Canis lupus familiaris: one gene and its partner. The protein of the gene in region 1 binds, or shares a complex with, the protein of each later gene. Links are inferred from orthologs where the notes say so. Each region holds a gene or a part of one and is shown in the gene's direction. Other genes may lie near its edges.

Region 1 (4,509 bases):
GACAACATACAGTTGAAGAACTTTGATCTCCAGGCTACTGTGTGAATCCTACAGCTACTTGGCTAAGTCCCCAAGGCAAGTCAAATTCTAGGAGTGGCATTGATGTCGTTTTAGGGGAGGGACTGTCGGTGGGTTAAGAATGTCCTGGAACAGCCTCAATATAAAGTAGCAAACCATTTTCTGGCAAAGACAGACTGAAGTGGGGAAAGGCAACTCAGTTTTATTTCAACTTATTTTAGGAGATCTATGTTTGAGGCCTGAACTAGTTGTAGAATTTCAGAGTTGACTTCAGATAGTTGACCTTTATGGGTCTCACTTTGTCTCTTTTAAAAATTTAAAAAGAGACGCCTGGGTGGCTCAGTGTTTGAGCATCCGCCTTTGGCTCAGGGCGTGATCCCGGGGTCCTGGATCAGCTTCTCCTTCTGTTTCTCCCTCTGCTGCTCATCCCGTCTGTGGTCGCTCACTGTGATGCTCTCTCTCAGATAAATAAATATCTTAAAATAAAGTATTTTTAGACACAAAAGGTAGCATGAGACAGATGGTTGGGAGACAAGCCACTGAGTCTAGCCCAGGATGCAGGATGGAGTGATGAGGAGGGTCTTTTTTTTTTTTTTTTCCCCCAAAAGGTAGAAAAACCAAGCAGTCATCACTTCCTTCCCCGTCCTCCCACCTTTGTGTGGGAACAGGTGACCATAAAATCTTACAATCCGATATAGGTAAATCGCAGCAAAGGTATGTTTCTATGCTTTTTCTAATGAGAGCCTTTCTGATACCTCTCTGATAGGTATCCTGATACTGCTAATAGGGCTAAGTCAAAAAGAGAATCTTAGCTTCCCATCTTTCTGTAAGGGGTCCCTTCTTCAATAGGCAGGACTAGATAAGGAGAAAGTTCTGATAAACGTGTGGCAAACTAGGACCAGGTAGGAGACTACATTCCCCAGCATGCAATGCACCCTTAGGACGCAGTCCGTGGCGGAAGAAGACGCGATACTTCAGCGTCAAGGATGGCGCGCGGGGCAGAGGGACGACTACACGTCCCAGAACGCAGAGCCCCCCCCGCCCCACCCCCCGCCCGTAGTTATAGCCTGGCTCCTGGCTTGTTTTCCGGTAACTGGCGTTCTTACCAAAGGGACGCCAGGGGAGGGGGGTGCAGCCCCGCTGTATACCGGACCCGGCACTTCGAAAGGGGTTAGGAGAGTCGGGAAAAGTGTCTAACGCTCATTCAAAGTACTTCCCGCGCGGGGTGGCGAGGGTTTATGGGGCCCCTCCCATATTTATTGTTTCTCAGAGGCACTGCCAGGCTCCGATTGGTCGAAGACCTCGAGGGCCGGTGGGAAGTCCGTGAAGCCCCAAATCGAAGTTGTCTGCGTCTCCCCATTGGTCTTCCTCTCGAGCGCAGGCGCGAGGGCCCCGACTCCCGTCCCCAGGGACGGGGAAGCGGCAATTGGCCCGAGCCCGCGAAGTAGGAGTCCGGATTGGTAGTTGCTAGCAGGAGCCTGGTTTCTTCCTTGACTTCTGCAAGTGATAGTGTATGATTGGTTTAAATCCGCGGGCACCTGACGGTGATTGGGCGGGAGCCCCGGGCTGGGGCCCATCATTGGCTGGTGCCGGGGCCGTCCCTCCTCGGGCGGGCAGCGAATGATGAAATGGGAACGGGGAGGGGAAAGGCCGCGACGTGAGCGCGCGACCTCCGGCGCCATTTTGTAGAGAAACAAGCGGAGTTAACCGAAGAGGGGGTCGACGAGAGCCGGAGACGGGGACTCAGGAGTTTCCTGTGTCCAGCGCTGCCGGAGCCGCCTGAGGTGAGGCGGGCCGGGGTCGGCGGCTGCAGCCGGCTGGCGGTGTCAGCGTCGGGGCGCGAGCGCCCCTGGGCGAAGGGACGGGGGCGGTCCAGGGGCCATTGGGAGCGTTTCCCGGAGCTCCGCGGGCTGAGGGGCAGTCGGGACCGGGAAGTGGGGAGGCGGGAGACGGCGGGCTCTTTCCACGGCTGGCGGAGCCTTCGGGCTCTGAAGAGAGGAGGCTGGGGCGGAGGCTTCAGCGAGCGGAGCGCAGAGCGCGGGGTGAGCCCCGCGGCGGTCGGCGGCAGGCGGCAGGGCCTGGGGGCCGCGGGGGCGGCCGGGGGGGCGGCTGGGCCGCGCTGGGCGCCCGCTGCACCCTCGTCGGACCCCACGAGCTCCTCAACTGCCCCTTTCTCTGCGGGCTTCCGGAGGGGTGCAGCGGGCTCCGGCCCCCGAGGCCTAGTTCCCGAGGCGAGGGTCCGTGGCTGGAGTGGCTGCAGGCGCCTGGGTCTTTCTGGGGGATGCGGAGCCGGCCGCCCGCTCCCTGCGCCCCCAGCACGTTGTCACCCCCCGGGTGTTTCGGTGCCCGCCGGTGCGAGGGGCGGGCGGGAGCCAGCACTTCCTCATTACTTCTGGCCACAGGTTTTGTTCCAGTCGCGCGCCGGGGCGCTCCGACTTCTCTCCGAAGTCGCCCACTCGGGCCGGTGAGTCTGAGCTGTAGAGGCGGCTCGGCCCCCCCCCCCCCCCCAAGTGTCCCCCCAGTGAGCGGAGCGCTTGTAGGCCTGGGCGCTGGGGAGAGACTTCCTTCCTGCACCTCTAGCAGAGAGGTTGCTTGAGGCCAAACACAAAATAACTCATTCGGTACCAGTTCCTCTGCAAAACTTGCCCAGCTAGCCTCACACAGATCATTATCCCCGCTAGGAGTGAGGTTTGTAGCTTAAAAAAAAGAAAGAAAATGTCTGATACCTGTGGGTTTGGAAATGCTGTGTTTAAAGTAAACTTTGAGAAGTAGGCTTTCCCCCCCCCCCCCCGAAGCCACCCAATCAAATGTCCCATTGCTTAGGACTCTAATAAAAAAAGTGTTTTCTTCCTGTAAGCAGAGTAACGATGCTTCTTTCCCCTTTTCTCTGTAATTCTGTTGCCTTGGAAGATTTAACAGCCAGTAATTTGAATAAACTATAATTGAGTATTTGGGGGGTAAAAAATTCTGATCATGGCCCTCGTGACAATCCGTTTGATAGGAATAAGGATACATATATGAAAAAAGGGGAGGACAAGGAAAAAATTAGAAAGGTCAAACATTTAGAGCAAGCCTGTTTTTGTTGGGGTATTTGGGTTTAATATGTTAGTAATGTGTGGCTCAGGTTGACTTTATCCTTCTAAAGCTGGGCAGCGTGGTATTTTTGCTATTAATATATATGGTAACAGTTTAAGTAGTCTTGTTTTGGGACACTGCAAATTGTTACCTTGTCTTAGCAGAAAATGAGCCGATGATACATAAAGTTTTAGGCATCCAGTTTTACTTTAAAATGGTAGTATGTTGATAAAACCTGTTGAGAGGGTTGGTCCCTTTTCAACAAGTGTTGGTCCCAAGACCTTTATTGGAAACTTAACTCTAGAATCAAGGAACAAAGACTGGACCATTAATAACTGACAGCGTTTCCCTTTCTTGCTTAAGATATAACCTTAGAGGTTTTAAAGCAGGGTTTTGTGGCATCTTGGTGGGACTGAAATGCTTTTGGTTCCTAAGTCAAATATATTAGTTTCTGGCTTAGTTTTTTTCCTCTAATCTCTAAATTTCTACTAGGCTTGTTTAAATCCCACTCTCTTCAAAATGGAATCTTGTCAGGCTAAGTACTGTGACGTTTTAACTTTGGGTTATGTCGTTTAGAAACAAACTGTATAACTGTATGAACACAAGAGGAAATGCTGTCTGTTCAAGACCCTGCTTAAAGACTGATCTCATCATTGCATGTTGCTTTCTCTAAGCATGTTTTTTGTTAGATTCTGATACGTAGTTATGAAAAACTTTTTGAGCAGCCTGAGTTGATGAACTTGAATTTTTTTTTTCATTCCATGAGGTAACAAAATTTTGGGCATTCAGTGCGTGGAAGGGAATTTGTCCATAATTCTAATTAAATGCTCACACATTCTTCTTTTTTCTTCTTTCTTCTTCTTAGATTTTATTTATTTATTCACGAGAGACACAGAGAGAGAGGCAGAGACACAGGCAGAGGGAGAGCAGGCTTCATGCAGGGAGCCCGATGTGGGACTCCATCCCAGGATTCCAGGATCACGCACGCCCTGAGCCAAAGGCTGGAGTCCAACCGCTGAGCCACCCAGGGATCCCCTCACACATTCTTTAAGGCACTAATTTTTGTTAAGATGTTTATGCTTCTGGAATGACCAAAAATAATAGCCTGCCATTTTGAAATGCTGTATTTTATGAACTTTGGTATACTTTATTAGTACAAAACTAACTTTCAGGTCATTTAAAAATATTAGCTGAAGCATTTTTAAATGGCCCTCTGACCAAACTGAACTTCCTGCTGGGACATTTCAAACTGGCATCCCACCGAGTCTTATTTTAAGACCTTATATATAGCAAAGTCCTACATTTCCTTTTCTGTTTGCTCACAATTTTTAAGAAGCATGTTTCAAAGCTAAAAGGGGCTCAAAACCCTTAGCACCCTATATATACACAATAGTTTAGCGTTGTTCTTTTTACTCT
Region 2 (4,325 bases), on another chromosome or scaffold:
GCAAATTAAGAATTTGCAGCAAAGGTGAACAGACCTAGCACTAAACCCAGATATTCCATTTCACTCCATCAAACATCTCGCGCTGTGTTCATCGATTACTTTGATGTCACCCGGCTTTACAGCCCTCATTCAACTCTACATTTCAACAGAATTCAACAACTCTTGATTACTTCTTTCATCTCTTTAACCGGAGATTTGACCTCTGTACAGTTATTAAACACCAAGAATCCCTCAGTGCTCCATCCTGGGTCCGTTTTTTCTAGCACTACACTCTCCTTAGGCAATTTCATCCACATGCATAGCTTCAGTTACTATCAACATGGCAGATGACACATATACATGAATTTATACAGCCTGTCCAGAGCTCTCCTTTGAGCTCCAACCCACTACATCCAACTGCCTCCTTGACAGCCTTAGACCTGTCCCCAGTTAAGAGACTTGTCCATACTGCCTACTCCCCCCACCCCCGCCAAAAGGCATTTACAGAGCCGAAATTTTGAAAACGATTACCACAAAACCACTACAAGCCAATTCTCCAGAACACAGGATTTTGTCATCAGTGATCATTTCCTTTCCGTGGATCATGACCTAAAATAGGTAAACCTGACAACCCGATCTGATAGCTAGAAGAGGAGGAGCAACCAAACGCACGACAAAAATACAATCCATGCCTTCCAGTGAGAGACAGACAGGAGAGGGAAGAAGACGAAAAATGGTCAAGAGAGACTATCCAAGGCCTGATGGGTGTGCGGCAACAGAAGTCACCTGAAGAGACAGCAGGCCTTGCTAAGGGGCGGGTGGCGGGCGACGACAGCCCCCAGCGAAAGGGGGCCAGGTTTGGGTTGCGGAGCAAGAGCGTGACAAGGAAGACCAGGTGAAAGGAAAAGGAAAGCCTGGGGGGAAACCCCAGAGGAGTACCTGTGAGGCCCTGGGAGCGCCGAAGGGGTGGGGGTGAGCGGAGCAGCAGCGGGGCGAACTCCAGAAGAGTGAACGCCGAGTGGGCGGACCGCAAGGGGCGGGGGGCGGGGGAGGGGGACCTGGGAAAACGGCTCGGTTGAGAAGCTGGCCGCCGGGCCCACCTTACCTGTGCCTGCGGGTCCGGAGCCCTGCACCGGCCTGCCGGAAGCACAGAGTCCGCGCGGAGGGGGAGGAGCCGAGGGTAAGGAAGGAAGGGACACCGGGCACGGAGGAGAGGGGCCGCTCACTCCCCCTAGTCAGGGAGAGCGGCTGATGGCGGGAACTGTGACCACACGCAAACACGCACGCACGCACGCACACTCGACGCGCCCGGACGAGGCGCGTGCGCGCAAGCCTGCAAGCTCCGCCCTTCCTACGCCTTCGCCCCGCCCCGGCACCGAGCGCCGCCTAGCCGAGAAGGCCCCACCCCCGCGGGGAAGTGGTACGCATGCTCACTCGCCGCTTCACGCACTCTGGTCCTCCCATCCTTTCCCTCCTACACAGCCCGGTCGGGCATGCGCACTACGTGTCCTCCGAGACCGTCCGGCTTTTCCCGCCCTTCCCTGGCCTCCGGAGGAGAGTCAGAGTTCACGCCCCTGTCTGGGGAATACCTGCGCAAAGCCAGAGGCTGCGGGGACTAGTAGGTGGCAGACGTCCTTCTGGCTCAGAATCTTAAGGGGTAAAGGACATACTCTGGGACTCAACTCCGCCGAGAGCCAGGAGGCGGGAAGAGGTGTGTGGGCGGGGTCAGGGGTGAAAGGTCATAGGGCCGCGAAGGGGGCGGAGCGAGCCGGAGGCGGATGGCGGCTGCGGCGGCTCTTCATCTCTGGCGGCAGAGTCACTGAAGCGGGGACGCGGCTGCGGCGCGTCCGGCAGCGGGAGAAGAGCGGCGGCCGCTCCCAACATGCACAGCCTGGCGACGGCTGCGGTGAGTGGCTGGGCGTTCCGGCCTGGGCCCACACCCCCTCCTCAGCCCCGCGTCTCGGCCTGCTCTCGGCGGTCCCCGTGTCGGGCCCGGCGTCCAGCTCCTCCTGCCCCCCGGCTGCGAGGCCCCGGCCCTCCTCCTCGTCGCGCCCGGACCGTGGCGGAGCTGACCCCCCACTTTTCCCTCGGGTCGGCTCTCGCGGCCTCCTGCGCCGCGTATCGCGTTCTTTTCCGGCCCCGGGGCCTGGTCCCGCGCCCGAGCGCCTCCCTCGCGGCCGGGACGGGCCATTCATTGATTCCCTGCGCTGACCAACAGTTTCAGGTGCCGGTTGCGTGCCGGGCGGCGGCGGGGATGACGGGGAATTCCGTGGTCGATCCGACACGGCCCTTGCGCTCGGACCTCATGCCCCGGCACTTTGCAGCGGGAAGGAAATGGCTTCTAGCTCGCCCCACTTGCTTCACAGGTGGAAAATCTGAAAGTGGGAGAAGTGAATAATTACTACGTCTGACTTACGGTTCCCTGCGCTTAAAAGTCCCCCCCCACACACACAGCTCATTTTACCAGGGCGGTCTTTTAACAAGAAAAACGGATCGTGTAATTCACCCGTCTGAAGTAATTTTTTGGCTTTCCATTGCATTTACATAAAATCTAGACTCCTTGCTGGGGCCTACAAGGCCCTCCCTGTGCCATACGGTCCCTACCCACGTTTTGCGGTGTAATCTTACATCACTTGCTCCGTAAGCTCCAGCTACATCGGCTGCCCCTGCTTTTCCACTCGGCTTGCACTTTCTGATCTCTATTCCTGGGATGCTCTTCTTACCACGTACCCACCCCCAGTTGCACATGCCCATACACACCCAAACTGGATCCTCTTCCCTGGGGTCTCTGCCTAAATCTCCTTAAAATAGCCTTCCCTGAGCACTCTTTTTAAATAAGTTCTGTAACCCCCAACTTTTCTCCGTTAAAATATCTTTATCAGCGCTGATCCCAGTTTTGTCATTTCTGTGTTCATTTACTTGTTTGTTGACTGTCTGTCTTGAGGGCAAGGACCGAGATCCTGTGGGTCCTGTTTACATGGTTACCCCAAGTGCCAGGACAGTTCCTGGCACAAAGTAAGGGCTCAATTATTTTGCTGAATGAAAGAGTATAGATGAGGGAGGTGACTACAGAGAGCACACAGCCATAATGGGAAAATGAGATCGTGTGATTGGAGTACACTCTTCTGAATACCAGTTGCCCTTTTCCTGTTTAACTAAGATGAAGTGACTCAAGAGGGGTAGTATACTTAAATTGTATTATCAGGAAAAATGACATAAGTACTAAACAGGGAATCAAAAAAATTACTTTAAATATAAAAAGTGGAAAACTGGTATTGAGTATGACTCAGCTGTAGAAAACATTGCTATCTCCAGGGCCAGTGGCATCTCTGCCTCCTTGTCATCATGTTTCTAAGTGTTCATAACTACTCAGTGGATACCTTTACATCTTTCAGTTAGTTAATTGCGGTTCCTCCAGCTTTGTTGTTTCTTCTCCTAAATTATACATGCAGTTGAGGAAGAAGCAAGTCAGAAGATGAGGCTGCTGTTGGTAGGGGAGGGATAGGTTACACAAAGGATTCTTCTAAGCTTGGTTTGTCCAATTCTCAAAATCTGATTGTGTCTTCTCCAGGCTTTGATACCAAACTACTCTTTTGTCCATGACTCTCCAAACACCATGCTTACTCAACTCCTTTTATTTTTACTTGTTCTATAATGCATCGTTTAAGAGTTATTATTCATTTATTTTGAGAGAGAGGCAGAGGGAGAGAGAGAATCTCAAGCAAACTCCTGCTGAGCATGGAGCCCTACTCAGGGCTCAATCCCACAACCCTGAGATCATGACCTGGGTGGAAATCAAGAGTTGGACTCTTAGCGGACTGAGCCACCCAGGCACCCCAAACTAATGTATCTTCTGAACAGCCATTAAAGCTGTGGTTCATTACTTATAATAAATATTCAATATGTGTTTCTTTAATTAAATTTGCAGTGCTTTACATTGATTTAAAATTTAAGATTTTAGATACATTTTCATCCATCAGTGCTTTTGAGCTCCCACAGAAGCTCTGAGAAGTTCCTTTGTAGCATTCATTCCCTAAACTATTTGATTACTGAGGAAACTGAAGCATTGACAAGTTGAGCCACCACCTCTTTCCCAATCCTTCATGCATTCTATTAGACTAAACTGCCTGTGTTATTCTGATCTGGGTAAAGGGACAGTAATGGTATATGATAACATACAATAGTGCCTGCAATAATCTAAGCCACTTGAGAAGATGTTTTTTTGCTTGATGACAAATTTTGTACTCGTGTGTACCTTTATCTTTTTTAAAATAACAAGTAGAGGGCAGCCCGGGTGACTCAGTGGTTTAGCGCCGCCTTCAGCCAGGGTATGATCTTGGAGACCC

What was found. The genes of interacting proteins can lie anywhere in the genome.
Region 2: the proteins of CNOT1 (region 1) and CNOT9 are in contact, whole or in part, in a crystal structure (PDB 4CRU), measured with the Homo sapiens proteins. The link is inferred for Canis lupus familiaris from reciprocal best matches to the Homo sapiens genes CNOT1 and CNOT9. Residues at the interface, in NP_057368.3 of Homo sapiens: Ile1415, Ala1416, Thr1418, Thr1419, Gln1422, Ile1423, Lys1426, Asp1427, Phe1428, Met1444, Asn1447, Leu1448, Gly1451, Met1452, Met1454, Ile1455, Arg1458, Glu1459, Tyr1548, Gln1549, Arg1552, Met1553, Pro1554, Gln1556, Ile1557, Leu1559, Val1564, Lys1567, Gln1568, Leu1569; in NP_005435.1 of Homo sapiens: Arg19, Glu20, Tyr23, Ile26, Asn27, Ser30, Ser31, Pro32, Arg35, Pro54, Met55, Trp57, His58, Ser59, Phe60, Gly61, Ile63, Ala64, Ala65, Leu67, Gln68, Val71, Asn72, Tyr74, Pro75, Ser76, Ile77, Asn78, Pro79, Thr81.

What each region holds. Positions count from the first base shown.
Region 1 is NC_049223.1:57,306,578-57,311,086, forward strand, and holds the start of CNOT1 (CCR4-NOT transcription complex subunit 1), read left to right. Parts: upstream 1-1,653; 5' UTR 1,654-1,802; exon of another isoform or gene 1,803-1,845; intron 1,846-4,509.
Region 2 is NC_049258.1:25,060,442-25,064,766, forward strand, and holds the start of CNOT9 (CCR4-NOT transcription complex subunit 9), read left to right. Parts: upstream 1-1,456; 5' UTR 1,457-1,861; coding exon 1,862-1,885; intron 1,886-2,206; exon of another isoform or gene 2,207-2,345; intron 2,346-4,325. UniProt on the Homo sapiens protein: Component of the CCR4-NOT complex which is one of the major cellular mRNA deadenylases and is linked to various cellular processes including bulk mRNA degradation, miRNA-mediated repression, translational repression during translational initiation and general transcription regulation.